Linked DNA regions of Coturnix japonica. The protein of the gene in region 3 binds, or shares a complex with, the protein of the main gene of each other region. Links are inferred from orthologs where the notes say so. Each region holds a gene or a part of one and is shown on either strand. Other genes may lie near its edges. The genes, in order: BUD13, CWC22, PLRG1, RBMX2, SNIP1, CWC15 and CTNNBL1.

Region 1 (3,595 bases), on a different chromosome or scaffold from region 3:
CTCTTAAATGTGTTTAGAGCAAGTCTTCATGCTCCAATTTCTCTCATCCTCAAAGGGCTCTGCCTTCTGGAAAGGGTCAGCGTGGTTCAAGGAGTCCCTCCAATCTCTCAGATCATCGCTACCCAGATGAGAAGGGATCTCCCAAGAAGGTAAGGGGTTTGTCTTTCCGTCTGTGCTGAAGATTGCTTCCTCTGATAGCAATCATTAACAGTGTGATGGCTTACAGATGGTAGAGCAGATATATAGCTTGTAAATGCAGCTGTGCCACACTGTCAGTTTGCCATAAGACCACGTGTGAGGTAGATGGAAGATGAGCTCTGCATGAGCACTCTGTATTTCTGGAAGTCTGTGGAAGCTGTTTGCAAAGATGGCAGCAAAGTGGCTTTGTAACAGAGCTGCCTCTCGTGTAACTTCCCCTTATCATACCTGTGAGTCACTGGGCAGCTCTCAGCCAGCAGTAAATGTGATTCTTGTTTGATTTGCAGGCCAAGATGATGTCTGGGGTCAAAGCTGGTTTGGTGTCAGCTGACGTGCTGCGGAAAGAGCAGCAGGAGCTCAGGAAGCAGGAGAGAAGTAGCAAGCACTTGGAAGGTAAAAGTCTGAAACCAGTGCACAGACATCAGCTTTTAGTCTGCTTTTGGCTGCCTGTTAATGCTGTATCAGGGCATGTCTTAAAATGCTGGTAGTAAGGGTGTTGATGGAGAGTGTCTGTGTTGGCTGGCATCCAGGCATGCTGATGAATATACACAGGTAAAAGCCACTGGGTCTCTAAAATAGAAATTTATGAGTGGTGATTTCAAAGAGGTGCCAATGAGACAATTGTGAGGCTTTTGTGTCTCATCTGCCCCATCTGCTATTCCTGATCTGAAGGAGCAGGCTGTTACACCTATAGCTCATTGCATGAGCTATGGAGTGGTTTGGAAACTGAAATATTCCCACGTGAGTGACTCAGGATATCTGTTATCCCTAGAGGAATCCCGACACACGGAAACCATCTTCCGCGACAAGTCAGGCCGCAAGAGGGACCTTGTGCAGGAACGTCTTGAGCAGAAGCAGAAAGATGAAGCAAAGTTGTTGCATGATGAGCAATATGCCAGATGGGGAAAGGGGTAAGGTGTCTTGGTGACATGTCACTTTACAGGTTGCAGACTGGGGGTTGGCAATGAGTTTTGTGCCTGGGACCAGGTTATTTTGTGTGGGATTACCCTGTCTGTTGCTGGGTGCTTCTCAGGGATGCTACACACAGTAGATTCTGATCAATACTACAATTTGAGCAGATGGCAGTAAATTATTCCTTAGTTTTGAGGTGGTACTTTGTATGTGTTTTTAGATTAGCACAGGAAAGGCAGCAGCAGCAGAATGTGGAAGATGCAATAAAAGAAATGCAGAAACCATTGGCCCGTTACATTGACGATGAAGATCTGGATCGAATGCTGAGAGAACAAGAGAGAGAAGGAGACCCCATGGCTGAGTTCATCAAAAAAAGAAAAGCCAAAGAGAACAAGGAGAAGAAAGGTATGGAAAGCTGTGCTGGTGCAGGTTTTAATGCCCAAGGAGCATAGAAATGCAGCTGCTGTTCAGTGAACAGTGTGAGGTTGCTGTGGCAGCTGAGTCCTGAAGATTGCATTGTAGTAACCAATGTCTGTATTGCTGTTTTTGTCTCTAGAGAAACCTAGGTACAGTGGACCAGCACCTCCTCTCAACAGATTTAATATATGGCCTGGGTATCGCTGGGATGGGGTGGACAGGTAGGTATTCCTGATACACTGATGTCATTGAATGGTAGTAAAACTAAATGAGCTTTTGCCTCAGAGAGCTTACAGTGAGTGAGATGCAACTTATTCAACCTTAACACTTCTCATGGTTATGAATGGCTGGTAGGGACATGCTTGTCTGGGACAAAAGGGAGCCAGGTTCTGTTCTGATCTGTTGTGGCACTGCCTGCTGTTTGCCACAGCTCAGAGTGGAAACTCAGCTGGAGGTGTTGATGCAAAAGTAGTGGCAAACATGTGATGTCATTTAAAAGCTTTGTGGCTTTAGTAGATGTGCACGGTAGCCCATGGTCTTGTTGGTGTTATTTTGTAGGTCCAACGGATTTGAGCAGCAGTTCTTTGCCAGGATGGCCAATAAGAAGGCAGTTCAGGAGCTGGCATACAAGTGGAGCATTGAAGACATGTAGATAGAAGAAATAACCATGTGAAACAGCACGACTGAATTGAGATCTGCCTGCTACCACTGCCAGAGCCAAAAGTAACGGCTCCTCTGCCTGGACCAAGCACTGTTCTTGGCATTCAGTATCCCAGTGGATTGTCTTCTTGGAAGCAAGGCTGTGTTTAGAGGAGAGCTGCTGGAAAAGGATTTTCCTGCCAGCCAGAAAGGACCAGTGCCAAAAACTGGAGTGGCTGCTGCCCACAGAGGAACACTTCTGCTCCCTGGTGTTCCTTCATGAGGTGCTGCAGACACTGGTGTCTGACCCACTTATTTCTTTACTAATAAACTGTAGAAACTGTGTTGAAATGTTCTATGCCAAATGCTTTGTCCTCTGAAGGCAGTTGACAGGTCTTCAGATGTCCTAAATCTCAGGTTTATTTCATGGTGGAAGCATGCTGGGATTTAAGTCATGGAGGGTTAATCCTATCTGGTGTGTTGGCCTATTGCAGCACACGGTTGTGGTTTCAGCTATGGCTGAGTTCTTCCAGAGGGTGTTTTTTGCTCTGAAACAACTTAATACTGTGAGCTGATTTACCTGTGGGCTCATGTTATGTCTGCCCCATGTTCTCCATGTCCTTGCTAATGAGCCCAGAGAGCTTCTGCTTGTTCAATGTTGTGTAACTCTTAACCCTTCTGGTTCCTGGAGTCTTTGGCTTGCAGTGAAGTTAGCACAGCAGAGCTTCCTGTAGCCCTTATGGGAGCTGTGCCAGGTGGGTCAGTATGTGGCAAGAAGCTGCTTGCTGTACATATAACTCTAGTTCTCTACTAGAAATGGCTGAATGAACAACACGCCATGTTATATTTGACAGCAAAGTCTTCAGAAGCTCCAGCAGCTCCTTGGGGGTCAATTTCTTGTGGCAATAAACACGCAGAGGCCATTTAAACTGTTTCCCTTGGCCATTATTTTCTTCAGAGTAGCTAATGGTCATGGATTAGTCCCTACAGCTTTCTCTCTGGACAGCCTTGCTGATGGCTCTTAGCGCTGCTGCCTGGGGGCTCGCTTCAGCACGAAGCATAACCTCTCTCTTGTGATTAGATTTGTCCAGCTTGCAGCTGGAGGCCAAGCAGAGCGCTGCGCTCCATCCCTGATTGCAAGAAAGCATTTCTAACTAAAAACAACGGGTTGGTAACAGACATTGTATGGAAGGGTTACATAGCAACAGCATCGGAAGGTTGTGAGCCTGAGATGCTCTACCAATGAGTGTCACCACTGTACCTCACAACTGAACGCCACCGCTGCAAGAAGAAGCTCCCAAGCTGCTCCACCGGACCCTTTTGTTTAGAGAGCATGGATCTCTTTCTTTATTGTCTTAAGCTGTTTGTTTGGTCTGTTATCTGAGCTTCAGGTGGCAGTTTATTGATGAGCATCCAGATGAAGTGAAGC
Region 2 (3,500 bases), on a different chromosome or scaffold from region 3:
CAGTAGGCCTTTCAAGAAGCAAGGTGAGCATTTCCAAACACAGAACCTCGTGAGCCTTTAGAAAGAATATCAGTAAAGAACTAGAATTTACAACATTTCTTTGAGGATGTCACAATAGTTGTTTAATCAGACAATGAAGGCAATACACAGGAAAAAAACTAATTAAGAGGTAGTCAACATTTTACTCATAATTTAGCTATTTATATTTACACCATCTTCACAGTCAACATGACTATACTTCTGAAGTGTGGCTACATTCTAATAAACATCTTAGTGAAAAAACAAACAGAATTCATTTATACAGATCAAATAAAATAATTCTTAGCTAACCAAAACTAGTTTTAGCAGTGCACAATCTTTCAAAATAACTTCAAGAAGTAATGTTTCAAACTGAGTTATTTTATACATCTGGGATAGAAATCCTGGTAATTCTAACACAGAAGATGGTGGATTAGGGAAAGATACAGATTTGATTCAAATGCAACTGAGTCTGATCCTGCCTACAGACTTAATGATCTTTGTACGAGATTACAGTGCTGCAAGAAAACTCCACTTAGCACCTGTGGGAATTCACTTGCTTGCTAACAGAAGCTATCAGAATACTATCCCAAACATATACAGTTTTGGGAAGCTCTGAGTTGTTAAATACACTGGCAAGAGATGATAACTTCACAGCTACATTACCAGACAAAATCTCTTATAAAAACTCCCAACAACTTACAGCAAGCACTAACAGGAAATATTAACTCAGCTTTCCCATAACTTACAGAAAAGGGGAAGTTTATATAGAGCTACCCCTATCTTGAAGCTAAAATAAGTAGAAATCCATATAAAGTATGAGCAAGTGAAAAGAAAGTAACATACCACATTCTGATTCATCAAATGTGCAACAAACTTCGAAGATGTTAGACAGAGTTGCTGCAAAAGAAATAAATAACGGGAAACTGTAACATCTTACACGGAAGAAAAACCCGTAACTGAGACATTCTATACTACAGCCAAATTGAGTCATGAAAATAACTATTTTGGTGTATTAGTAATTATGCTACCATTAGGACTGCATACTTTCAAGTAAAATATAAAAAGAACATCACATTTCCAAGCTGAAATCAGTAGCCAAGCTTTCACGATGTGCAAATACTACTTTATTTAATGTACTAATGTTAGGTGAAGCAGAATGATACAACACAAACCAGAGGTCTTGGCAGTGTTACTTTGAAATACCTAACCTGGATACACTCAGTACAAGATTAAAACAGAAGAATTACAAGTTTTAGCATGTTGTTTCTTCACACTTCTTACATACCTTATCATTTCTGCGATATCCTTTGCGAAAATTTAGTATCAACCTCTTGAGAATCAATTCACCAATATTTGGAAACTTTGAATTAATAATTGCCACAAGAGCCGCATACACATGGGTAAAAATTGGAGAGGCACCCTGAGCTTGCAGAATGGATCTAGACAGCAATCCCCTGCAAATATACATAAGTTTAAGAATACAGTTTTTCGTATAATAACTTAACGTTGTCATCCATTATGTATCACAAAATAAGATTGCATAGTTTGAATAGTTATAAAGATGCTATACAGTCATTTTCAAATAGTTATTCACTGAACAACAAATGGAGTTTTACAGAATGAGCTGCCTAAATGTGCCCAAGTTTAGAAATCCTTAAACTGATACCTTCTCTTTCATCAGATATTATCTCTATTAAAACTGTATTTTGAAGCAATAAGCATTTATTTTGTATCCTGCAATTACCCCATATTTTTAAAAATTCAGAGCTTTGAAGTTTGTATGACTGTTGTTTTTTTTCTGCACACGGTTGAAAAAAATCTTATCTGTGAGAGAAAAAACAACTGTCCTGCAGTTCTTTATAAACAACAAAGAACTACAATCCAGTAGAATGAACTACCCAAAGAAGCAAAACTAAATTCTAAGAAATAGAAATTTTATTCTCATAAAAGCTCCCTAAAAATAAAAACATACCTAGGTATGATAAAAGCATAATAAGTAAAGCAATGTTTTTTTCAGTGCTTCATTCAGAATAACATTCACCCTAACTATGGTTTGGAACACAACTTATTTTTAAAAGACCACTTTTCGGAGTCTAAATGAAGAGAAGCAAAGGGCTCATGAGATAATAACAGTTACACTGAGAGAGTTGAAAAGTCCGGGAACACAGAAAGAAATAGACAGGCACACTTAAATTTCAAGTCATTCAAGTAAAATCAGTAGATATAGATAAAATAAAAAGAAAACATACTATCTGCTCAACTGACTTATTCTTTCAAGCATGTACTCCCTCCTCTACCACTCTGCTCCCAGCCCCTTTCCTCAAGCAGGGAGCCCCTATGCATAGGAAAATATAGCTAGCCTAAGATAAACTTCAAGGTCAGATTAGTAACCATATACTAAACATGCAGTGATGCAGGAATGAACAATATACATATTAACATAAAAAAAAGTTAGCTCAAATATTTTAACATTTACCTTCCTCGAACAATATTCTCCTGAAGCAGCTCATGAATAATGTTTTCTATATTAGAAACGTTTACTTTATTGACAAGACCATTGATGGACTTCTTCAAGGCTTCCCAACTCATCCTCTGATACGCCAAGCTATTACAAAGGCATCACAAATTAGTAAAGAATAAATTTGTGGCAGCAAAGTTATAAATACAAAAATGTGAAGATACGATATACTAAATAAAATAACTAAGAAAATATTCACTGTATAAACATGAAGACTAGCTCACAATTATACATCAAATGACTACAAACCCACCAAACCAACATGACATGCCAAAATGTAGTTCCCCATATGTGTTATAACCCACAACTTTTGTTTCTCCAGGGCATTAGGAAAAGAAATCCCATTTATCCTCTGTATCCTGCTCTTCTATTAAGAGCTGAAGTGGACAGGATCATAATCTGATTTGTTATTTTTGTTGTTGTCTGTTTGGCTAGCATTTTGCTTTACTCAGACAGGTAGAGAAGGAAGAAGACAAGAAAAATGGCTCATTTTTTTTTCCTGATTAAAAGATACCTCAAAAAGTGTCCCATTTATAACAACACTCCTTAAAACCCTTTATAGTTTTGTTTTTTAGGATGAATTCTAATGCTACCTTCAACTCACCTATTTTTATCAGTTATTTGTTCTTGCATCATCCTGAGCTTGGCGGGTGGAATATATGCACCACCTGTGCGAGTAAGGATTGGATCCACTTCTTCTTTCTTCTTCTTCGAAGTGGCCTCTTCATGAGTATTTGAGCCCTGAACTGTTGACCTCTCTGGACTCCTATGATCAGGGGAAGAGTGTCTTCTCTTCCTCCTTCGATCATAATCTCTTTCCTCCCACTTTTCATAGTATCTGTCTCTCCCTCTTTCCATCCTTCTATAAAGTTAAAAAACAAACAAAAAAAAAAAGATGTTTTCATCTTTTGTTTTTAAAATGAGTACCTTCAAATGAATTGAAAAACAGGTGTCTGTATTC
Region 3 (3,965 bases):
TAATGACAGCCAAGAAAGAACACTGCATACACCAAGATGATATCTGACCAACTTAAAATCATATCACAGAATGGCTTAAGTTGGAGGGGATCTTAAAGGTCATCTAGTTCCAACCCCCCTGCCATGGGCAAGGTTGCAAACCATTAGATCAGGTTTTCAGGTATTTTATAAAGCTGAATATTCAAAGTACTTTGTTTTGACTTGTAGTTCTTGTAGATTATGCAAATGTTAATGAAGTAATAAAGCAGTACCTGGACTGAGAAGCAGGAAGAGATACTGCTAAGGACTGAGCTGCAGATTCACTCGGCATCCTCTGGATCTTAGTGTCTGCTGTCAGAGCCACACCTTAAAAAAAAAAAAACAAAATTAAATTAAAAAATTAAAAAAATAATTAAAAAAAAAATCTCAGTTTAACTCTGAAATACCTGATTTAAACACAGAATTTTACTTACCAGGCCCAGGTGGATATGGATGTGTGCCAGTTATCACATACTCCAGTTCTTCTCCTAAAGACCAACAAAATAACGCATTCAAACAAAACAGTACAACAGAGTAGGTGGTGCAAAGCATCCTCAATTTGACAACATCCTCAACCCTTATTAGCTCTCTAATACCCAAATATAGCACACACTAGCATTACCTTAAAACTTGCTTGTTTTACTAATGAATTAAGTCTCCTACTGTTTCCTTGTGAAAACAAAGAACAAACATGGTACTAGGAATAACAAACCTTCATTTCCGGAATACTGTTTATGTCCATATGGATCCCCAGTGGCTGGGCCTCCTTTCTCTCTCATGTTTTCTTTAAGAGTAGGCATGTGCAATACTGAGCCGTACTCAGTACGCAGCTTGACTGCCATCTTTACTTTGTGGCTGTTGGAAGAACAGAGCATAATCCTGATTAAATCCTGATTTTTGAACTGCTACTAAGTTTTGAAATATTTTAAAAAACAGGAAACCTTTCATACAGCTAACATTACAATCTTCATGCTTTTCAGTTCCCTTAACTGCTAATTGTACTGAACACCCAAACTCCTGATTTGGATAGGATTGTTCTCTATAACTTCCTGAAGGGAGGTTGTAGTGAGCTGGGGGTTGGCCTCTTCTTTCTTGTCATTAGTGATAGGACTAGATGAATGGTTTCAAACTGTGGCAGGGGATATTCAGGCTGGACATTAGGAACTACTACTTCTCAGAAAGGGTGGTCAGGCACTGGAATGGGCTGCCCAGGGAGGTGGTGGAGACACCGACCCTGCGGGTGTTCAAGGAACGACTGGATGTTGTGTTGGCTTAGCGGGAGCTAATAGTAATGTGAACGGTTGGACTAGATGATCTTTTAGGTCTTTTCCAACCTTGGTGATTCTATGATTCTATAGAACAATTGCTAACAAAGTAAAACTCAGCCACAGCACTCACCTTTCATCATCTAATGGTACAGGTTTGGCATTATCAGCTACAAACATATCATGGGTTCTCTTCAAAGATCTGAACACAAGTGTGTGCACAGAGTGCTTCTGGACTTCCTAAAATAAAGGAAAGCATATTTAAATAAATTTAGCCACGTTTAAATGAAAAACTGAAATCTGAAAAAGAAACTGAGTAGCAATTTCAGACTTGCATATGATACAACACTATTCCCATCAAACACTGCTCCTCTTAGAAACTACAGATTCAAGTATATCTATTAGTTGTTTTAATTCAATGCCTGCTCAAAGTAAAACCCAGTTTCTCAGAAATGACAAGCCAGAAAAAATTTGCACTATCATCTAAAAATACATGAATACGTTTATCTTCCATGTTTTCTAGATGCTTTTATACCTAAACAATAAAGTACCTGATTCTGAAAACATTCCTTTATTGCACTACCTCCATAAAAATGAACATCAGTTTCTGCACAGTGTCACCCTATGTAAGAACAGTGATGTTTACTATAAGAAGTAATCCTGGGATCAAATAAGACAAAGCCTCTTGTCCTTTTGAAATTACACATTACTAAAAGCTAATAATTGTTAATATCTCAGTCAGGGCCAAAATAGTAGAACTTAAAGCTATTAGCTTATATAGAATATTTGTTTAGGACCGCGCAATTCAGGTTTTAATTCCTACCTTCCTCTCAAGGCACAATAAATAAATAATTAGAGATGTGATAATCAGAGTATGAGCCTCTTTGTGCTCGCTCTGTATGTCACAAATAGGAGCAACACAGAGTGGAAGCATTAAGAACTTCGGGCTCTAGTTACCATTCAGCTGCCCAGCCTCCACACTCCATTAAGCTGGGGCTTCCTCCACTAAGCTCTGCTTTCCTGCCCTGGACTCTGCTTACCCACTCATTGCCCCATTCTGCCACACTTCATACTCCCCTAACTCAGTAGGGCCCACACAAAACTTTTAGCTCAGGACGGTCCTGTAAAATCTAGATATCAAATAAAGAACATCTATAATAGGGCTTGGGAACTAGAAATTCCATGCAACTGCAAAAAGAAACAGGAATTACAGTAGCAAATGTCTGCTTGTCGCAATAAAAGCAATAGGTAACTCAATACCTCCACAACAGGAGGTGAACAACTATAGATATCTCTGGACAGTGATGACACCCAGTAAAAGAACTGTTACGTAGGAGAACTGCACAGCATCTTCTGTGCTCCTACCAACAACACTCAGTAACACAAGAACTGAACCGCCCTCACCTCCACCATGGCGCCGTCGCTCCCCGCTCCCCGCTCCCCACCGACAGCGATGGAGACACGTCCGGCTCCTGCTCTATACCTCATAGGAAGTGACGCAAATCGGGTGCGCCGGGCTGCATTGAGGAGCTTGCAACGCCAGGGTGCGGTGTTGCACTGGCGTTTTGTTCTTGGTTTGTTTTAATAATAATATGTTGGTTTGTTTTGTTTTGAACTTACAGTCTCGGCACTTTGCGTGCTGTCGTCTGCTGAGTGAATCGGGCTCGTTTTTAGTGCATCTTGAAAGGAAAACCTCCTTGAAATAGAGACCTTTGTAGCAATCCGAGAAAAGAAAGATCTGTGTTTTGTAAGAAAACTTCACTTACATGTGCTACTTATTACAGCATCCTTAGATTTTACAGAGGCCTGTAATTACACTCTTTTTTTAAAGACCCCCCCCCCCCCAAACGTTTACATCTAATTGAACATCTAATTCTACAGTAACCCTGTCACAGTGTGACATGTACAACGCCAGCGGCTTCCAAGGACGTTTCTAAATCAGCTGCCAACAACTGGATTCCTTTCAAAATCACATTTACTGGCACAGCTTATCAGTGGCCCAAGATGGCTCTATTCCCCCTTGGCCCAAATTACCTCTGTGATGTGTTCAGCCTAAAGGAGCCAACATACAAGGATGGGGTTTGTGTAAAGAGTGTTGCACCATGGGCAGATGATTTGGCAAAGCAAACACAAGAGGCGGCACATGAAAATTCATTCCTAAAAACACACACATACACCTCTGCCAGTAAGTAGCTCTCCAGGACAAAAGCAGTGTACAAAGAGATGTTCTGGAATACCATTTCGGAATGCTACAAAGAGATACCGGAATACCATCAGGTCAATGCTTTCTTTTCGCAGTTCTTCATAGCAGATTTGTTGCATTATCAACACTACGTGAGTTCAGGAAGAGTTTCTCATTAACCATGTGAGCTGGGGAGGAAGTGAAGAAAACACAACGAAGAAAGATGTTCTGTTTGGAGACAAAGCCTCCTTGACACCGTTTTAAGAAGAAGATTAAGCCATGTTCTTGGTTGTTCATAAGGCTTTATCCAGTCGTTATACAGTGTCAGCCTAGCTGTAACAGTTGCAAGCATCAAAGAAAAGTCCCATCTCACACCCAGCAAGCCAACTAATGGAGATTAGGTCCTGCTCCCCAAATATTTGTTATATTCATGTATGTTTTCCAATATACCTTGCTCCCCCTGCAGTTCCAGATTCTGACTCATGCTAGAAGCATTTCTC
Region 4 (4,173 bases), about 17 Mb from region 3:
ACCCGCCGGTACCCGCCGATACCCGCCGATACCCGCCGGTACCCGCCGGTACCCGCCGATACCCGCCGGTACCCGCCGGTACCCGCCGCAGCTCACCGAACTCGGCCACGATGGAGGCGAGCCCGCCGTACACGAAGGGTTTCCAGTTCAGCGCGGACATGGCATGGCGGGGCGCGCCGCCGCGCCGGGCCGGACACTGCCTCAACTCCACCCGGAACCGGAAGCGCGGCGGAACGGGAAGCACTGCGCCCCCCAGCCGGGCGGACCCGGCAGCTCGGCCCGCAATTGGGATCCAGCGGCACCGCCCGAGAACGGCGGGGAGGAGACGGGAGAGCGCTGCAGGCACGGGACCGACCGGAACCACCCCGAGAGCAAAGCGCAGCTCAGATCCACTGCTGTGCGCTCCCCATTTCTGTGTCAGCTGCCATCAATGCTCAGTCCAAACAGCACAACCGGACACAAGCAGTGCTCCCAGTCATCTCCTCTGGTTAAAGGATCGATTTTTATTAAAAGGAGTTTAAAACAAAAAACGCCATGAACTGCGATGGCTCAGCAGCCTCTGATATCCATCACATAAACAAAGGAAGCAGGACGGGCTGGGGGCACAAAGCACCGTGCCCGCCTGCAAGCACCCACCGCCCCACTGCAGACAGGGACGCTCCCCCTGAACAACGTGGGCAGTTTCGGTGTCCGTATCCTGCTGCTCAGCACCCCACTGCCCACACTGTGCCGTGAGCCCCTCCACAACCGTCTGAGTGATGCCACTGCACAGAAGGGCCGAGCAAGGCAGCAGCAGAGCCCACATCACAGCCCACAGCACTGAGAGCAACCTGTCTGAGGAGTGAACCGGTCAGAGTGGTGTGTGTGAGACGAGACACAGCTGTGGTACCCTTAGGGCCATAGCAGGAGGCTTCAGACAGGCTCCCGGTGCAGCTCACAGAGCACAGCTGTGGCCCAGAAGGTGCTCACTCCAGGGCTCAGTGACGGCTGGAATCTCTGGTGGATCCACGCTCCCTGTGCTTGGAATGGGGCTCTCTGCTGCTGCTCTCCCGCCGGTGCCTGGATCTGCTTCCCTCAGAACACTCTTCTCGCCAGCTGCTGTGTCCCTCACCCTTCCTGCTGACCTCTCCTCTCTCTTCCCGTGAGCTGTTCTGCCCTCTGTGTTCCTGGGAGCTCTTTTCCCCTCTCCTCCCCGACGACCTTTGGTGTCTCTGCTCTTCCTCATCTCGCTGCGTCCTGCTCACGTGTTTCCTCTCAGACTCACTGCAGGACTGCTGACCCCCACCAGCAGCATATCGCTCGTAGCCAGGATCTTCCTTCTCCTTTTTAATCTTGATTCTCGGATGTGCCTCTTCGGCAGGTGCTGCTCTCTTTGCAGCCTGAGAGCTCTGCTTTTGCCGTTCATGTTTATTCTTCTCTTTATCTGAAACAAAAAGGTCATCCTTAGAGATGGACAGTCCTGCAAGCATCATCCCCACCAGTTCTGCTACAGAGCACCAGAGCTCTGTAGAGAAAGGCTTTATTGGAGCCTTTCTTCTCCCTGTCCCCCACTGTCCTGCCCCCTCCCCCTTGCAACATCCCTGCAGCCCAGCCCAACTCCTTTTCTCCAGGAAGAGTGCCACTATAACCTGCAAAATAAGGATCTCCAGAGGCAGGGGGTGAATGATCATAGATAAATACTGGCAGTGTGACGCAGATCACAGAGGATAAGCCTGGACATTCGGGTTGCATCTGTTTTCAAGAGGATCCCTATCCCTGCTGTACGCTGAGCTAAGAGTCCCTGTAGCCCACACAGATCCTCCCACCCAGGGCAAAGATGGGCAGAAATGCATTTCACCTTTTTGCTTTTGGGCTGGCGTGTCTTCATCCTCCAAGGAGGAATCTGACGACGTATGAGGTGGTGTTTTCACTCCGCAGCCCTTTGCATGGAGGGCTTTTGTGACATCATCTAAATCATCGGAGTCCTTGGGAGTCCGGTAGTTGGCCACGTGGTCCACTCGGATCGTCCTGCCTTTGATCTAGGACAGGAGTCAGGTAGTCAGCAAAGCGTGTGCTGTGGGGCCAGCAGCCGATGGAGCTTCTCTCTGATGTGCTCTGAGCGCTCCAGGAGCTGCTGCAGCCACACAGCTCCATCACTCACCTTGATCCCATTGAAGTTATCAACAGCAAGCACGGTGCTCCTCTGATCCTCATAGCACAAAAAGCAAAACCCTTTGGACTTCCCAGTCTTCTTATCCCGCACCAGATTAATGTTCACCACCTCCCCGTACCTGGAACACACCATCAGCAGCCACAGAGCAGGGCTGGAGGGGCACAGCAAGATGGGGATGGAGCAGGTAGGAACTTACTGCGAGAACACACAGATGACGTCCCCCTCTGTCAGCTGGTAGGGCAGCCCGCCTGCGGGGGGAGACAGGGCAGCGATGGAGGCCCAGCACGGAGCCCAGCACGGAGCCCAGCATGGAGCCCAGCACGGAGCCCAGCACAGGGCCTACCACAGCCCTGCTCTCTCCTCCCTCCCCGTCCCCCCATCGCGGCCTACACGTACCGATGAAGACCCACGCGCTGTCCTTGTACTCGGCGTGCCACGACACCGCCTCGCTCACGCCCAGCTCCGCCTCCCGCGCGTTCAGCTCGTTGATCAGCTTCACTTTGGTCAGCGGGCTGGGGGCGATGCACTCCGTTAGCACCGTTAGCACCGGCCGGTCGCACACCCCCCCCTCACCCAGCCCCCATCCAAACCTACTTCATGGCGGCGGCGGCGCGCACTGCGCATGCGCCCCCCTTACCCCCCCGCCTCCGCCCCCGCCCCGGCCGCGCATGCGCGCCAAGCAAAGCAACGAGTCCGAGGGCTCCGCACAGCTTTATTGGTCGGCGCTCAGCACGGACACGCGCTTTTACCGTGGGCGTCACGTGACGGCTCTAGCTTCTGCGCCCGGCCCGGCCGCTTCTCCATGTCGCGATAGAGCAGCGACTTCTGCGCCTTGAGCCGGCAGGCCAGGCACATGAAGATGGACTCCACGTTCTGGCTCTCTTTAGGGTCCTTGGCCGAGGTTTCGAACAACAGCATGTTGTGAGCGTCGGCGAATTTGAGAGCCATGCCGGACGGCACCTGGATCAGGTCCTTCAAGTCACACTTGTTCCCCACCAGCACTTTGGGGACCAGGGGGGACACGGCGTGAACGTTGCACTCCTCGATCCACATCTTGAGGTTGGTGAAGGACGCCATCTTGGTGACGTCGTACACGAAGACCACGGCGTGCACGTTGCGGTAGTAGTGCTCCACCATGCTCTTCCGGAACCGCTCCTGCCCGGCCGTGTCCCACACCTGCACCTATGGGGCACAACACGGCGTGAGCAGCCATTGCTGCTGCAGGATGCTGTGCTGCTGCTCTGCTCATTGCTGTGCTACAGGGGTGAAAGGCCCCAGCCCGGTGACTTACCTGCCCCATGTTGGTGTACCCAGCCATCATCCCTGTCAAACTGCACACAGCACTGCTCGTGTCAGAACAGACTAACACACCAACCCACCTAATGCTGTGCTGTATGAGGACACTGAAATGATGCTCTGTATCCACAAAGGAGGCAGGGCAAAGAGAGCGGCGTTCCTGCATGGAGCTCTGTCTGGGGGAGGAACCAGGCAAACAATAAGGATTAAAGAGCCGAGAGCCATGGAGACAGGGCAGTGTGCAGCTCCAGCCTGATCAGGGAGAGTAAATGGAAGGTGCCCTCTGCAGACAGATGGGAGTCTCATGTTTGCAGGCTTAGGCCCTTCTGGAGGCCTTCAGCCATTCCAGTGTATGCTGGAGGGGCAACACAGCACAGCTTAAAGCGTGAGATTCCAACTTCAAAACTCAAGTGATAGAAGAGCCAGCGAGGGAAGCTGCTACGCTGGGCCAGCTTCAGCAGGGCAGCTGTGAAGGTAAAGCCAACTCATTAACCAAGAGGTGGCTCTGAAAGAGTCCTGTGGGTCAAGGACCTATAGGAAAATGGGACCAAAGAAAGCTACCCAATACTGATGTGCCTCCACCTCTGAGCTGCCCATGTGAACAAAGAGGAAGTCAAGCAAAAATACCAAGAGGTACAAAGAGGAAGTACAGGGAAGGTGGAAGGTGAGACAAGTGACTTGAGAGGAGTACAGACACAATGTCAGAGCACACGGGGAGGTGGTTT
Region 5 (4,256 bases), on a different chromosome or scaffold from region 3:
ACAGCCGGTTATCCTCCTCCCATGACCTGCACCGGAAAGCAGCAGCGATGGAGCTCGGCGGGGCGGTCCTGAGTTAAGGCTCTTGTTGTTCCCCCCTCCCCGGCTCACCGCGGCGGTAGGATGGCGTTCAGGATCTCCTGAGGTTCCTTCGTGGAGGCGGCGGAGGCGGCAGCAGTGCGAGGTCGGGACGGAGGGACAGGGCCTGATGGCGGGGAGGCCTGTGGGGTTCCCTTCAACGGTGAGGCCTGAAGGGAGAAAGCGGTGTGAGCAGGATGGGTGAGGTGTGAGGGCTCCCCCCGTCCCATTCAGAATCACAGAAACACAGAATTATCAAGGTTGGAAAAGACTTCACTAGGAGAGTGGTGAGGCCCTGGAACAGGCTGCCCAGGGAGGTTGTGGATGCCCCGTCCTTGGAGGTGTACAAGGCCAGGTTGGACGGGGCCATGGGCAACCTGATCTATGGGGTCTCTATGGGGATCTATGGGGTCTCTATGGGGGTCTATGGGGTCTCTATGAGGATCTATGGGGTCTCTATGGGGATCTATGGGGATCTATGGGGGATCTATGGGGTCTCTATGGGGTCTCCTGGGCAACCTGATCTAGTAAATGTGTATGTTTGGTGGCCCTGCTTGGCAGGGGGGTTGGAACTACATGATCCTTGAGGTCCCTTCCAACCCGGGTCATTCTGTGACCTAGAAGATCATCTAGTCCAACCATTCCCAATACTTCCCAGCTAAATCATATTCATCAACACAACATCCAGATGTTTCTTGAACACTCCCATGGTCAGTGACTCCACCACCTCTTTGGGCAGTGCATTATAATGCCTGACTACCCTTCCTGAGAAGCAATACTTCCTAATATCCAGCGTGACTCTCCCCTGACACAGCTTAAAACCATTCCCTCTACTTCTATCATGGATTAGAGGCTCACTACAACCTCCCTTCTAACTTCTAACTAAGGGAGTTATAGAGGGCTATAAGGTCTCCCCTGAGCCTCTTCTTCAGGCTGAACAACCCCATCTCCCTCAGCTTCTTCTTATAAGTCCCCATTATGCTCCAGACCCCTCACCAGCTTCATAACCCTTTTCTGAATGTATTCTCAATGTCTTTCTTGCAGTGAGGTGCCCAAAACTGAACACAGGGGGACAATTACCTCCCTGTTGCTGCTAGTAACACTGGTTTTGATACAATATAGGATTCCTTTGGCCTTCATGGGCCATAATATCGGTTCATATTCACTCACCTCTGGTGATCGCTTCTCAGTACGGCGACTCACCAGCATGGGCGGGTTATAACGCAGCAGCGAATCGGGCGGTGGGATCATGGCGGCTCCTCGGTCGCTATGGTTATAAACGCCGCTCCGTTGTTTGTTCTAAAGGCGCATGAGCGTTAGGTAAAGATGTAGTTCCGGGTGGTTGAGAGAGAGGTAACACGGATGTGAAAACGTAATTCCGGTTGTGGGGGGAGTCGGTAGCAAGATGGAGGCTGAGAGTGAGAGGAGGAGGAGGGAGAGAAGGAGGGGGGAGATGGCGGTGAAGGCCGAGAAGCGCAGCCCACGGAGCTGCGGGTCCCGTTCGGCTTATGGGAGCCAATCCCCCCCCATTGAGGAGCGACGGGGCAGGAGCAGCAGGTAGGAGGCCTCATAGGGCCTTATTACGGCCCTGTATCGTAACCCTGAGGTTCTGTGCATTTCTTGTGTACTTGATTTAAAGGTCGCCTAAAAGGAAGAGTAAATCCGGCCGGAGGAGCAAATCACCGCGGGGGAGGAGGAGCAGGAGTCCGCACCATGGAGGTGTGAGGGTAAAGCAGGTAAATGGCGTTGGGAGAGGCCAGGCCCCACAGATCCCCATAGAGACCCCACAGATCCCCACAGAGATCCCATAGACACCCCATAGAGCCCCATAGAGACCCACTGAACCCCATACAGACCCCATGCAGACCCCATAGAGCCCCACAGACAACCCATAGATCCCCAAAGACACCCCATAGATCATGTTGCCCATGGCCCCGTCCAACCTGGCCTTGAACACCTCCAAGGACGGGGCATCCACAACCTCCCTGTGCAGCCTGTTTCAGGGCCTAACCACTCTCCTAGTGAAGAACTTCCCCCTAACATCCAACCCAAATCTTCCCTCTTTTAACTTAAAACCATTTCCCCGTGTCCTGCTATTGTCAGCCCTTTCCAAGAGTTTACTCCCCTCCTGGGAGTAAGTTCCCTTCAGGTATTGAAAGGCTGCAATGAGGTCACCCCGCAACCTTCTCTTCTCTAGGCTGAACAAACCCAACTCCCTCAGCCTGTCCTCATAGGGGAGGTGCTCCAGCCCCCTGATCCCTCTAGAATAACTCTTAAGGAAGAGAGAGTCTTACAGTGTAACATCTCCTTGCTCTCTGCTTCGTGTTTTCCTGGAAAGAACTGAGTGTTTGTACCTTTTAGTGAGCCCAGCCCCTGTTATTCCTGTAAGAAAATGAGTATTTGTGCCTTTAAGTGAGCCCAGCCTGCAGGCTGACCCTGAAGGCTGATGTTATGATGCATTGCTCTCTGTCAGCCTTGCATTGTTGGGCCCAAGTTGTGGGAATTCACTTTGGAAGGAAATAAATAAATCTAGATATACACGTACCATGTTACAGTCTGTGTTTTTCATGTGTTTTCTGTCTTCTTCCTCAGGAACGAGACGATCATCCTCACAGAGGAAATGAAGAGAGAAAGCAGAGACACACGTCAGAGCAAGAACACAGACGAGATAGAAGCGGTGACAGAGACAGGCACAGAGATCACTCAGACAGGAGGAAAAAGGAGGAAAGACCTGGAGGTCGAGGCCATGAGAGAGAAAGAGATGTTCAGAACATCCGTGAGCAACAAGCAGAGAGGGAGTTCTATAACGAAAGAAGACGAGAGCATCGACAGAACAACGAGGGGAGCGGTGCTGAGCAGAATCCAGAACACAAACAATCTGATAACAAACCAAAAGATAAAGCTGTAAACAAAGAAAAACCAAGCTTTGAACTGTCTGGTGCCCTTCTGGAGGATACCAACACTTTCCGAGGCGTTGTGATTAAATACAGTGAGCCCCCAGAAGCTCGGATTCCAAAGAAACGATGGCGTCTCTATCCATTTAAAAACGATGAGTTCCTGCCTGTCATGTACATTCATAGGCAGAGTGCTTATCTCCTGGGCAGGCACCGCAGGATAGCAGATATCCCCATTGATCATCCCTCCTGCTCAAAGCAACACGCTGTGTTCCAATACCGGTCAGTATCGCTCTGTATCCCTCTGGTAGGTGGGGATTATTTGGTCGCTTGCGTGCAAAGGGAATCAAAGAACGTATTGGATGTGCACAGATTAGAAAATGCATGTTTGCTCAATGGTTTTAGATAGGTGGAATTTAGGTATGGATGTAACATATATGTAATTCCTTTTTGTTTAACCATAAGCAGCCTCGTGACTCTTAACATATATATAATTCCTTTTGGTTTAACCATATCTAGACTTTTAGTAAGAAACACAACACAACAGGATGAAATACAGAACTGCCTGTATATCTGAATTGGAGTTATTAGCAGGTGGGATTGGCAATAAAGAACGTTTAAAGGAGGGTTTTTCATTTGTTCCTTCCCAACAAAGGCTGCCGATCTCCTTTATAAACAGCAGGGTTGTGTGCTTCAGGAGGCAGAGCTGCTCTCTTAAGGAACAACCATCTGTTCTGCTTCAGGATTTACTATGTTATATGATCATAACTTTAAGGGGTGAAGCAGTCTGTCAGAATCTTGAGTATTTCCGTGCCCTGTCTAATTATTCTCATTGTACTTGCTCAGATCTTTGAAGTATGGTTAAGTATTTACAACAGTGGGGCTGATGTGTTGAAAAATCCATGTGTTATCATTGACTTGATGGGTTGTTTTTGTTTTCTAGGCTTGTGGAGCACACACGCGCTGATGGCACAGTTGGCCGCAGGGTAAAGCCGTATATCATTGATCTTGGTTCTGGCAATGGTACTTTTCTAAACAACCAGAGGATTGAGCCTCAACGTTACTACGAACTGAAAGAAAAGGATGTATTGAAGTTTGGCTTCAGCAGCAGGGAGTACGTCCTTCTCCATGAATCATCTGATAAATCAGAGGCCAACGCAAAGGACGATGATGAGGAAGAGGAGAAGGAGGAAGAGTCCGATAGTTAACAGACATGAAGGCAATTGGGGATGGGGGAGCAGGGGAGAGGAATCTTTTACAATAAAACATGCATTGGGATGGAGATGT
Region 6 (4,110 bases), on a different chromosome or scaffold from region 3:
AATAACAACATGCAGCAATTCCTTTCACCTTGCTGTGAACTCAGGTTTGGAAATAAGAGTGTCTGAAAGAAACCCAGGCTCCAGTCATTAGAAATACACTGCGTGCACAAGCTGTCTTTATGCTGAAGCATTTCATTTGCTTTTACAATTAAAAACTTGAATTCAGAATCCCTGACATGGCTGCAAAAATCCCCCCCAGGCCTTTTGTCAAAGAGGCACGGGAGAGTGGGACTGAAATACCAAATCTTTCTTGCAATTATGCAGCCCTTGGCAAATTAGCAAAGACAACTTTGTATTTGATATTTGGGAGAATGAACTTAAGATGCTTAATGCCCCTTCACACACACATACACACTCACTCAAAGGGATTCGTTACCACACACACATCGTATATTCCTGTATGTATTTCTTCCCACACACTCATTTCAGAACAACAGACTGGTGCTCCACACTCCCGCTCTGTTTAAAGAGACAGACCACCAGCCACTTTTCCCTTAATAGCACATTTTGTGCTGTTGCTTTTGGTGATCTCTGAACATCCCACCTCCCGTATCCATGTTACCTTCAAAGTTATTCAAATGGGTGGAAGGGAAGCAGTGAAAGGGTAAATATCTGCACTAAGAAAGCAAAACCCAAGCAACAGTTTAAGCTAGAAAAAAAGACTATTTTCAGGCTGACACAACTCAGTTAAATCCTGTGGCATGTTGACTCCAGATTTCATGCTATCTTAAAAGAACATAAATTATTAAGCATTCCAAACACAGGATAGTATTCATATAAAATCCCATTATCTTTCACACCAGTTAAAGCAACAGGCTCTTCTAGAACCCTTCTAGTGTTTAACATCAGCTCTTCCAATACTTACTAATGCCTGAGTGCTGTTACACATTGCCCTGCCTCTTCTTAGTGCTCTTCCCCAGGTTCTTTGCCAATATATGACATACTCAACTTCATACCTCCTATCCCATCTTGTAAGTCACACCACCTTTCTAGCTCAGCTGTCTCTGTATGTTCCCAATGCTTTTCTTTTCACTCCATTGCCTGAAATGCTTAATCTGTAAAGATTACCTTCTCCTGATTCCCTTCCACAAGCAGTTATTGACACCACTAAAACTAAACCTTCCAAATCAGTTGCAACCCACTCAATCTCCTAAGCCTGCTTCTGTGTCTGCTTAATGTCAAGCAAACAAATATCTAACGTGAAAGAAATTCAGAGTGTTGGTCACATCACAAAGAAAGAAAACAACAAAACAGCTCCAGGCTGCTTTGCTATAAGACAGACAATAACGATACTTACCTGTATTTGATTTTAGTATGAGAGGGAAGGTCTCTGCTGGAATACTGCTTGGATAGCTGACTTAAGTCTCCTTCACCTTTTCCTCTCCCTCCTCTTGCAGGCTCAAACGTTGGCCTCGCTGCTGTCGTCATTTTAGTTACTAGAGTCAAGGGCAAAAAACAGTCATTACTATAACTTAAAGTGAAAGCCATTCACCAGAAGCTACGTCATTCTTGGAACTGCTGCAGCAACAGCAAATCCCACTACACAATACAAATTATCAACTGGTGCATGAGCCTTAAAGCTTAAGAGCTTCTTTTACTGACAGCTTCTTTTCCAACATGCCTGAAAGATGATAGAGACTCAATCAAGAATGTGAGGTCATGTTTATAGAAGTGGATAAAATGCCAGGAGCCAGTCTCCTATCCTTATATCTTGGTAGAAGAGTAATTCTTTCCCCTCTGGAAAAAAACACAGGATCTAATAATGAAATCACAGAACTGTGGGGGTTGGAAGGGACCTCTAGAGATCATCGAGTCCAACCCCCCTGCCAAAGCAGGCTCCCTACACCACGTCGCACAGGTAGGCGTCCAGGCAGGTCCTGAATATCTCCAGAGAAGGAGACTCCACCACCTCCCTGGGCAGCCTGTTCCAGTGCTCCGTCACCCTCACTGTAAAGAAGTTCTTGTGCACATTCGTGCAGAACTTCCTATGCTGTACTTTCATCCCATTACCCCTAGTCCTGTCCCAACACACTACTGAAAAGAGACCAGCCTCACCACTATGGCTCCCATATAACTGATGCCAAGAAGTGCTCAGCACTGCACAAAGCAGCTGGAGGCCACGCAGACCCAAACCATAGAGCCAAAAGTTTAGGGCAGTCCACCAAGAAACAAACAAAACAAAAGAATCAAACCAACCAACCACCCTGGATGACCCATCAGTGCCATCTTCAGTCTGTTAAACGAAACTACACACATCCATAAGCACAGCCTAAGGACTTAAATAAGAGACATACAAAAGGTGGTGAGGCCCTGGCACAGCTGCCCATAGAGCTGTGTGCCCCATCCCTGCTCAAGGCCAGGTTGGATGAGCCCTGTGCAGCCTGAGCTGCTGGGGGCAACCAGGGGTTTGCTCCGATCAGGTTCCATCAGCGCAGCATTGGAGCAGCCCCGTCAGTGCCGCACAACGCCGGCTCGGCTGAGCCGCCTCCATCGGCGCTCTCCCAGGCCCGTCCAGGCCGCCCCACGGCCTCAACCTCCCTCCCGGTGTCCCCCCAGGCTGCCCACCACCCCAGGGCCGACCCTCCACATTCAGAAGCCCCGATTTAATCCCTTCAATCCCCCTTCTCTGACCTCGGGGTCTCCTCCCGCTGAGCAGCCGGGCCCTACGCCACCGCCATCATCCCGCCCTCTACCCACAAGGCGCCGCGCAGCCACCACAGAGCGGAGCGGCGGAAGGAGGAACTACCATAGAGATGGAAGGCGGAAAAACTTGTTACCTCAGTGCGGAATTGAGTCCGCCATGTTCGATAATGAAGTGGAAATAGACGCTGTTGGTGCCTGAGTGGCACCTGCTGTCCGCCCTGAGGTACAGCAGCACTGCGTGTGAGCTGTGCTTTAAAGTCGTGTATGACTGTGAGCAGTACACACACCCTGCTGTGCTGCCATAGAACCCTTGTGCTGCTGCTTTTCTGTGTGCTTACAGAGTCATCCCAGCTCCTCCCGGCTGCCTCCCACCCCGCTGGTTCTTTGGCTGTTTGTGCTCAGTCACAGCTCCTGCTCCACTGTCTGCCTTTGCTTCCTGATGGCTGCCAATGGCTTTGCAATGAGGAAGAGACCTTGTGACTATTCTCAACAGAGAAAAATCCACGAGTCAGCAAGAATTCCCTGCAAAAATAAGCACAGAACCTGAACTAGGCCCTTCCTAAGCACCCAGGAGAGGCTCACAGGGGAACGAGCCATCCCCCTGCAGCCCACAGGCACATCTCGCATCTCTCATACTGTGTCCAGGTGTGGAGCCCTCAGTACAAAAAAGACATGGAGATTTTGGAAAGGGTCGAGAGGAGGGAAACGAAGATGATCAGGGGACTGGAGCACCTCCCCTATGAGGACAGGCTGAGGGAGTTGGGCTTGTTCAGCCTGGAGAAGAGAAGGTTGTGGGGTGACCTCATTGCAGCCTTTCAATACCTGAAGGGAACTTACTCCCAGGACGGGAGTAAACTCTTCGAAAGGGCTGATAATAGCAGGACTAAGGGGGACATGTTTTAGAGATTAAAAAGAGGGAAAGATATTTTAGGCATCCTCAACGCGCACTCGCACTCTATCATACCAGGGGGAAGTTCTTCACTCAGGAGAGTGGTTAGGCCCTGGAACAGGCTGCCCAGGGAGGTTGTGGATGCCCCGTCCTTGGAGGTGTTCAAGACCAGGTTGGACAGGGCCCTGGGCAACCTGATCTAGTAAAGGTGTATGTTTGGTGGCCCTGCCAGGCAGGGGGTTGGAACTACATGATCCTTGAGGTCCCTTCCAACCCGGGTCATTCTGTGATTCTGTGATCTCCGTATGCAGACATGGAGGAGCCCACTGTGCAGCAGTGGAAGAGTCCTGGAGGCGGAGCAGCCCCAGGCCAGGGTGCAGCCTGTGGAGAGGAGCCTACAGTGGGGCAGGAGGGCTGGGGGAGCTGCTGCCCGTGGGGCTGTGCTGGAGCAGTTCCCCACCCACAACATGATGTCAGCTGAAAGGCACTCAGCAAGGGAGGGAGGAGGGTGCTGGGGGCATGGGTGGCACTGAGGAGCACACAGTTCTGCCGCTCTCTATCACAAGCTCGTCCCTGAG
Region 7 (3,500 bases), on a different chromosome or scaffold from region 3:
TGCAGTTGGCTTTACAACACTGCTAACTAGACACTGTTTCGTAAACTTAAGTCATTCTCTCATTGACAAACTGGGTTCCTTAGGAGGAATGGGAGGAAAGCATTTCATCACCTGTGCTTTCTGTTTTCAATTTTGGGAGGCAGCAGTAAACAGCTCGAAGTCACTGAATCAGATCAGTGTATGGTGAGTGCTCACTGTGCTGTCCAGTATGTAGGGTTAATCTTCTTCTTGTGCCTGAAAGACTCTCTCTGTGATTACACCAAGGGGTTTGGTTTGACGAAACAAGAAGATCTGGTGGCTGCAATCAGCTTTGGTGCTGGTGACCTTGTGAGTGTGTTTGCCTGGAGCATGTGTGCGTGAAGGAAGCGCTCTGTGAGCGTTCCAGGTACAGTGCTCTCACCGGTGATGGCTCTAATGAGAAAATATTGCTCTGCTTGTGCGTGCCCACCTGCCAGCCTGCTGCATAATAAATCACGCGGGCTGCAGCGAGCTCGCAGGGTGTGACAAGCTGCTTCCTTTATCTAAAGGCAAAAACAAAAAACAAAGCCCCGAAATGCAAAAGGTCACGTGTGCCATCAGTGATTGCACTGTTGGTTGCTGAGAAAAGTCAGGGTGGGCTCACCCTGTGACGTGGATGGGCCCCTCTCTGCAGGGGGCTGCTCAGGGCTCGTTGCTGGGTTGTTTTGCTGCTGTTGTGAGGCAGCAAACGTTCTGAGCCAGGAGAATGGAGCAGCCTCCTGCATTCTGCCTTTGGGCTCTGTGTGAGCCTCTTAGCAAAGCACCCTGTATGCAGAGAAAGGAAGAACCGTGCCATGGAAGCAGAGCTCTTCTGCTGGTTGCAGATGGAGCCTCAGCCCCATTGCTCTGCCCAGCCAATGGCTTTGGAAGAGAATGGCTGCGAGTACTGAAACTGCACTTGTGCAGGAGTCAAGACCTGGTTTCTTATTCAGCAGTGAGTGATGAAGTTCAGAGGCCGGCAGGGCTTTAAGCTGCTGGAGTCGTGTTCTGCACTGCTGAACAGCTCCCTCAGATGGCCAGCAAAAGAGCACAGGTTTTGTTCCACCTCGACAAAGAACTGGTTTGTTTCCTATTCACAGCCTCTGATCGCTTGGTTTAGAAACGTAACTTCTGTGCTGAAATTAAGGTGTTAGTTTGTGGATGGACACCCTTCACACCAGCAGGGGCAAAGCCGTGCTCAACACTGAGTGAAATGTTCTGTGGATTTAAATATATTATCAAAAGAAGTACTTCTTTGCTAAGAAATGTATGGGTGTTAATGTGTGGGGAGAACAGAGCACTTCCTAAGAAACTGCAGCTATCGCCAGCATTTCACCACGTGTAATGGGAAGGTCTCTGAGACAGCCTTGACCCCTTTTTTCTGCACTGCTTTCCAGGACATGGTGCGCCGAGGAGAGATAATAGATGATGACATGGAAGACGAATTCTATCTCCGCCGCCTGGATGCTGGTCTCTTTGTTCTACAGCTCATTTCCTACATCATGGCAGAAATCTGTAATGCCAATGTCCCCCAGGTAAAGCTATATACAGAGCTAGTGCATCACCGTGCTTCCATCTGTGATACAAACAAGACTAATCCTTGCAAATATTGCGATGGTTGCATGATATGTTAACAAAAAATATTGTATGATACAAGCAAGGCTATCCTTGCAAATATTGCCTCTTAGTCTTGTCTTAATTCCTTCTTTTGGGGAGGAATCCTGCTTGTTGCCTTGTGTCCATGCAGCTTCATGAAGTTACAGCAGTTAGGAGGGCAGTGGTAGGTACAGGAGCTGATGGTCATCACTGAGTTCATGCAGACTGCCGAGAGCAAGGTCACAGCTAGAAATTGGAAGGCCCTGTTTATATCACTGCTGGGAGTGCTGAAAGGGGGTCTCTCTTGGAAGCCTTCTCAGACACAGATTGCAGATGGGGCTTTTCCTCACCTCTGTGAAATACTGCATCATTTTCTGGCGTGTGTGTGTTGGGGTTTGTGACTGTATTTTGTGGTTGCTTGTATGTGTGCCATGTACCTTCCTTAATGCTTTAAGTGCTCTGGGACTGTGGGCTAGCAGGGCAGAACTGGGTTTTGTGGTTCTTGTGGTTTCCACTCAGAAAGAGCAGAAAAAGTGGGGTTGTGCATGGCTTTATGTTCTGCTGAAGATTCCTTCCTTCTCTTCCCTGATCAGATTCGTCAGAGGGTCCATCAGATTCTGAACATGAGAGGCAGCTCCATTAAAATTGTTCGACACATCCTGAAGGGTGAGTTGAGATATTCCTGTGCGTGTTTCATTCTGTACCAGGGACAGTTTGGTCATCACTTTGTAGGATGAACCTTCACACGTCATTCTCCCTGACTTCAGCAGCATCTCTGAGCAGCAGTTACCTTGTGAGGTCTGACCAGGGCTGGAATCCCTGATAAGAAGCAAGCATTGCCTTGGAGTTAGGATGCTTGCTGTTGTCTGCTGTCACGTCACGCTACAGCACTTCATGCTGCTGTCAGCTGCAGACTGACTGGCCCACACTAGAATACTAGAGTAAATATTTAAGGGAAGTGTGTGTGCATGCTAGAGGAAAGAATAGTGGAGTCGCATCTTTTATTAACATGGCCCTGCTCTTTACCATCTGCACAGTATTGGTATCCGTGGTGTATTTGTCTTGTTCTTAGTGTCAGATTAATATGGATTACAGCATTAAAGTATCCTCTGTAGCATTAAAATGTAGCTGTTGTGATTTGCAGTCCTGATTCTAAAGTACTGCTTGTTACTTTGAATGCTTATGTTGAATTAGAGTAGCGCTTATTTGAGCTGTGTCTCTCACCTGTCGCCTGCTGTCCTTCAACAGAAGCAGCAGTTAGACTGAAGGGGAAGGGACGGGGCTTGGGGCTCTCAGTGCAGCCCAGCCTGAGCTGCCAGCACTGATCCATCACCCCTGGGAGCACCTCTCAAGGAGGCTGTGCAGGTCTTAGAGAGGAGGATTTCTCTCATGAAGAGAAGGGAAAGTTGTCAGCATCCTTGGGGCTCTGGGCTTGGGGCTGTGTTGTTTCAGTGTCTCTGCTTTCTTTGGGAATAGCAACCATAGCAGGTATAAAAAAAGAGTGATTTTTTGACAGCATGAGATTACCTGGAGCTGCAGGTAAACTCTTTGGCCCTTATCCCTCCCCAGAAAGTTCAAGCAATATTTGATGATTCCTGCCTCCAAACGCCCGTTTGCACCTTAGAACATGGTGCATTTCTACTTCCATACATGACTTAGGCCATGGGTACTTGAGAGCCTTACCTGCACCTTATGTGCCAGCCCACCTCGTGTTCCCCACTGTGCCTGTTGGTTCACATGCAGCTGCACAAACACTTCATCCAATTCCTTCTTTCACAGACAGTGACTTGCATTGTGAAACTTTAGTAATGGTTTTATCATGCCTGCCGAGCTGCTTAGAGAAAGTACAGATTGTACAGCAGTGTCAGCAGGGATGTGTTCGCTTCCTAAAGAGACCTTAAATGGCG

What was found.
Region 1: PLRG1 (region 3) and BUD13 share a complex: the UniProt entries of both Homo sapiens proteins name them as parts of the minor spliceosome. The link is inferred for Coturnix japonica from reciprocal best matches to the Homo sapiens genes PLRG1 and BUD13.
Region 2: PLRG1 (region 3) and CWC22 share a complex: the UniProt entries of both Homo sapiens proteins name them as parts of the minor spliceosome. The link is inferred for Coturnix japonica from reciprocal best matches to the Homo sapiens genes PLRG1 and CWC22.
Region 4: PLRG1 (region 3) and RBMX2 share a complex: the UniProt entries of both Homo sapiens proteins name them as parts of the minor spliceosome. The link is inferred for Coturnix japonica from reciprocal best matches to the Homo sapiens genes PLRG1 and RBMX2.
Region 5: PLRG1 (region 3) and SNIP1 share a complex: the UniProt entries of both Homo sapiens proteins name them as parts of the minor spliceosome. The link is inferred for Coturnix japonica from reciprocal best matches to the Homo sapiens genes PLRG1 and SNIP1.
Region 6: PLRG1 (region 3) and CWC15 share a complex: the UniProt entries of both Homo sapiens proteins name them as parts of the PRP19-CDC5L splicing complex. The link is inferred for Coturnix japonica from reciprocal best matches to the Homo sapiens genes PLRG1 and CWC15.
Region 7: PLRG1 (region 3) and CTNNBL1 share a complex: the UniProt entries of both Homo sapiens proteins name them as parts of the PRP19-CDC5L splicing complex. The link is inferred for Coturnix japonica from reciprocal best matches to the Homo sapiens genes PLRG1 and CTNNBL1.

What each region holds. Positions count from the first base shown.
Region 1 is NC_029539.1:4,398,579-4,402,173, reverse strand, and holds the end of BUD13 (BUD13 homolog), read left to right. Parts: intron 1-55; coding exon 56-149; intron 150-485; coding exon 486-591; intron 592-970; coding exon 971-1,109; intron 1,110-1,330; coding exon 1,331-1,515; intron 1,516-1,666; coding exon 1,667-1,748; intron 1,749-2,085; coding exon 2,086-2,179; 3' UTR 2,180-3,095; downstream 3,096-3,595. UniProt on the Homo sapiens protein: Involved in pre-mRNA splicing as component of the activated spliceosome. As a component of the minor spliceosome, involved in the splicing of U12-type introns in pre-mRNAs.
Region 2 is NC_029522.1:13,093,576-13,097,075, reverse strand, and holds part of CWC22 (pre-mRNA-splicing factor CWC22 homolog), read right to left. Parts: intron 3,402-3,500; coding exon 3,144-3,401; intron 2,627-3,143; coding exon 2,498-2,626; intron 1,476-2,497; coding exon 1,307-1,475; intron 919-1,306; coding exon 865-918; intron 56-864; coding exon 1-55. UniProt on the Homo sapiens protein: Required for pre-mRNA splicing as component of the spliceosome. As a component of the minor spliceosome, involved in the splicing of U12-type introns in pre-mRNAs. Promotes exon-junction complex (EJC) assembly.
Region 3 is NC_029519.1:18,056,570-18,060,534, forward strand, and holds the start of PLRG1 (pleiotropic regulator 1), read right to left. Parts: upstream 2,801-3,965; 5' UTR 2,772-2,800; coding exon 2,688-2,771; intron 1,524-2,687; coding exon 1,417-1,523; intron 874-1,416; coding exon 731-873; intron 507-730; coding exon 453-506; intron 346-452; coding exon 252-345; intron 1-251. UniProt on the Homo sapiens protein: Involved in pre-mRNA splicing as component of the spliceosome. Component of the PRP19-CDC5L complex that forms an integral part of the spliceosome and is required for activating pre-mRNA splicing.
Region 4 is NC_029519.1:1,522,345-1,526,517, forward strand, and holds RBMX2 (RNA-binding motif protein, X-linked 2), read right to left. Parts: upstream 2,801-4,173; 5' UTR 2,752-2,800; coding exon 2,747-2,751; intron 2,665-2,746; coding exon 2,549-2,664; intron 2,401-2,548; coding exon 2,349-2,400; intron 2,271-2,348; coding exon 2,141-2,270; intron 2,019-2,140; coding exon 1,838-2,018; intron 1,424-1,837; coding exon 978-1,423; 3' UTR 470-977; downstream 1-469. Other genes in the region: SLC25A14 (brain mitochondrial carrier protein 1), read right to left, coding at 97-160; RAB33A (ras-related protein Rab-33A), read right to left, coding at 2,879-3,334. UniProt on the Homo sapiens protein: Involved in pre-mRNA splicing as component of the activated spliceosome. As a component of the minor spliceosome, involved in the splicing of U12-type introns in pre-mRNAs.
Region 5 is NC_029538.1:3,338,362-3,342,617, forward strand, and holds the start of SNIP1 (smad nuclear-interacting protein 1), read left to right. Parts: upstream 1-1,456; 5' UTR 1,457-1,480; coding exon 1,481-1,632; intron 1,633-1,714; coding exon 1,715-1,811; intron 1,812-2,667; coding exon 2,668-3,251; intron 3,252-3,912; coding exon 3,913-4,177; 3' UTR 4,178-4,256. Other genes in the region: DNALI1 (axonemal dynein light intermediate polypeptide 1), read right to left, coding at 1-26, 109-245, 1,246-1,326. UniProt on the Homo sapiens protein: Required for pre-mRNA splicing as component of the spliceosome. As a component of the minor spliceosome, involved in the splicing of U12-type introns in pre-mRNAs. Down-regulates NF-kappa-B signaling by competing with RELA for CREBBP/EP300 binding.
Region 6 is NC_029516.1:165,900,258-165,904,367, reverse strand, and holds the start of CWC15 (spliceosome-associated protein CWC15 homolog), read right to left. Parts: upstream 2,801-4,110; 5' UTR 2,778-2,800; intron 2,744-2,777; exon of another isoform or gene 2,632-2,743; intron 1,437-2,631; 5' UTR 1,429-1,436; coding exon 1,298-1,428; intron 1-1,297. UniProt on the Homo sapiens protein: Involved in pre-mRNA splicing as component of the spliceosome. Component of the PRP19-CDC5L complex that forms an integral part of the spliceosome and is required for activating pre-mRNA splicing.
Region 7 is NC_029535.1:8,632,946-8,636,445, forward strand, and holds part of CTNNBL1 (beta-catenin-like protein 1), read left to right. Parts: intron 1-1,394; coding exon 1,395-1,532; intron 1,533-2,186; coding exon 2,187-2,259; intron 2,260-3,500. UniProt on the Homo sapiens protein: Component of the PRP19-CDC5L complex that forms an integral part of the spliceosome and is required for activating pre-mRNA splicing.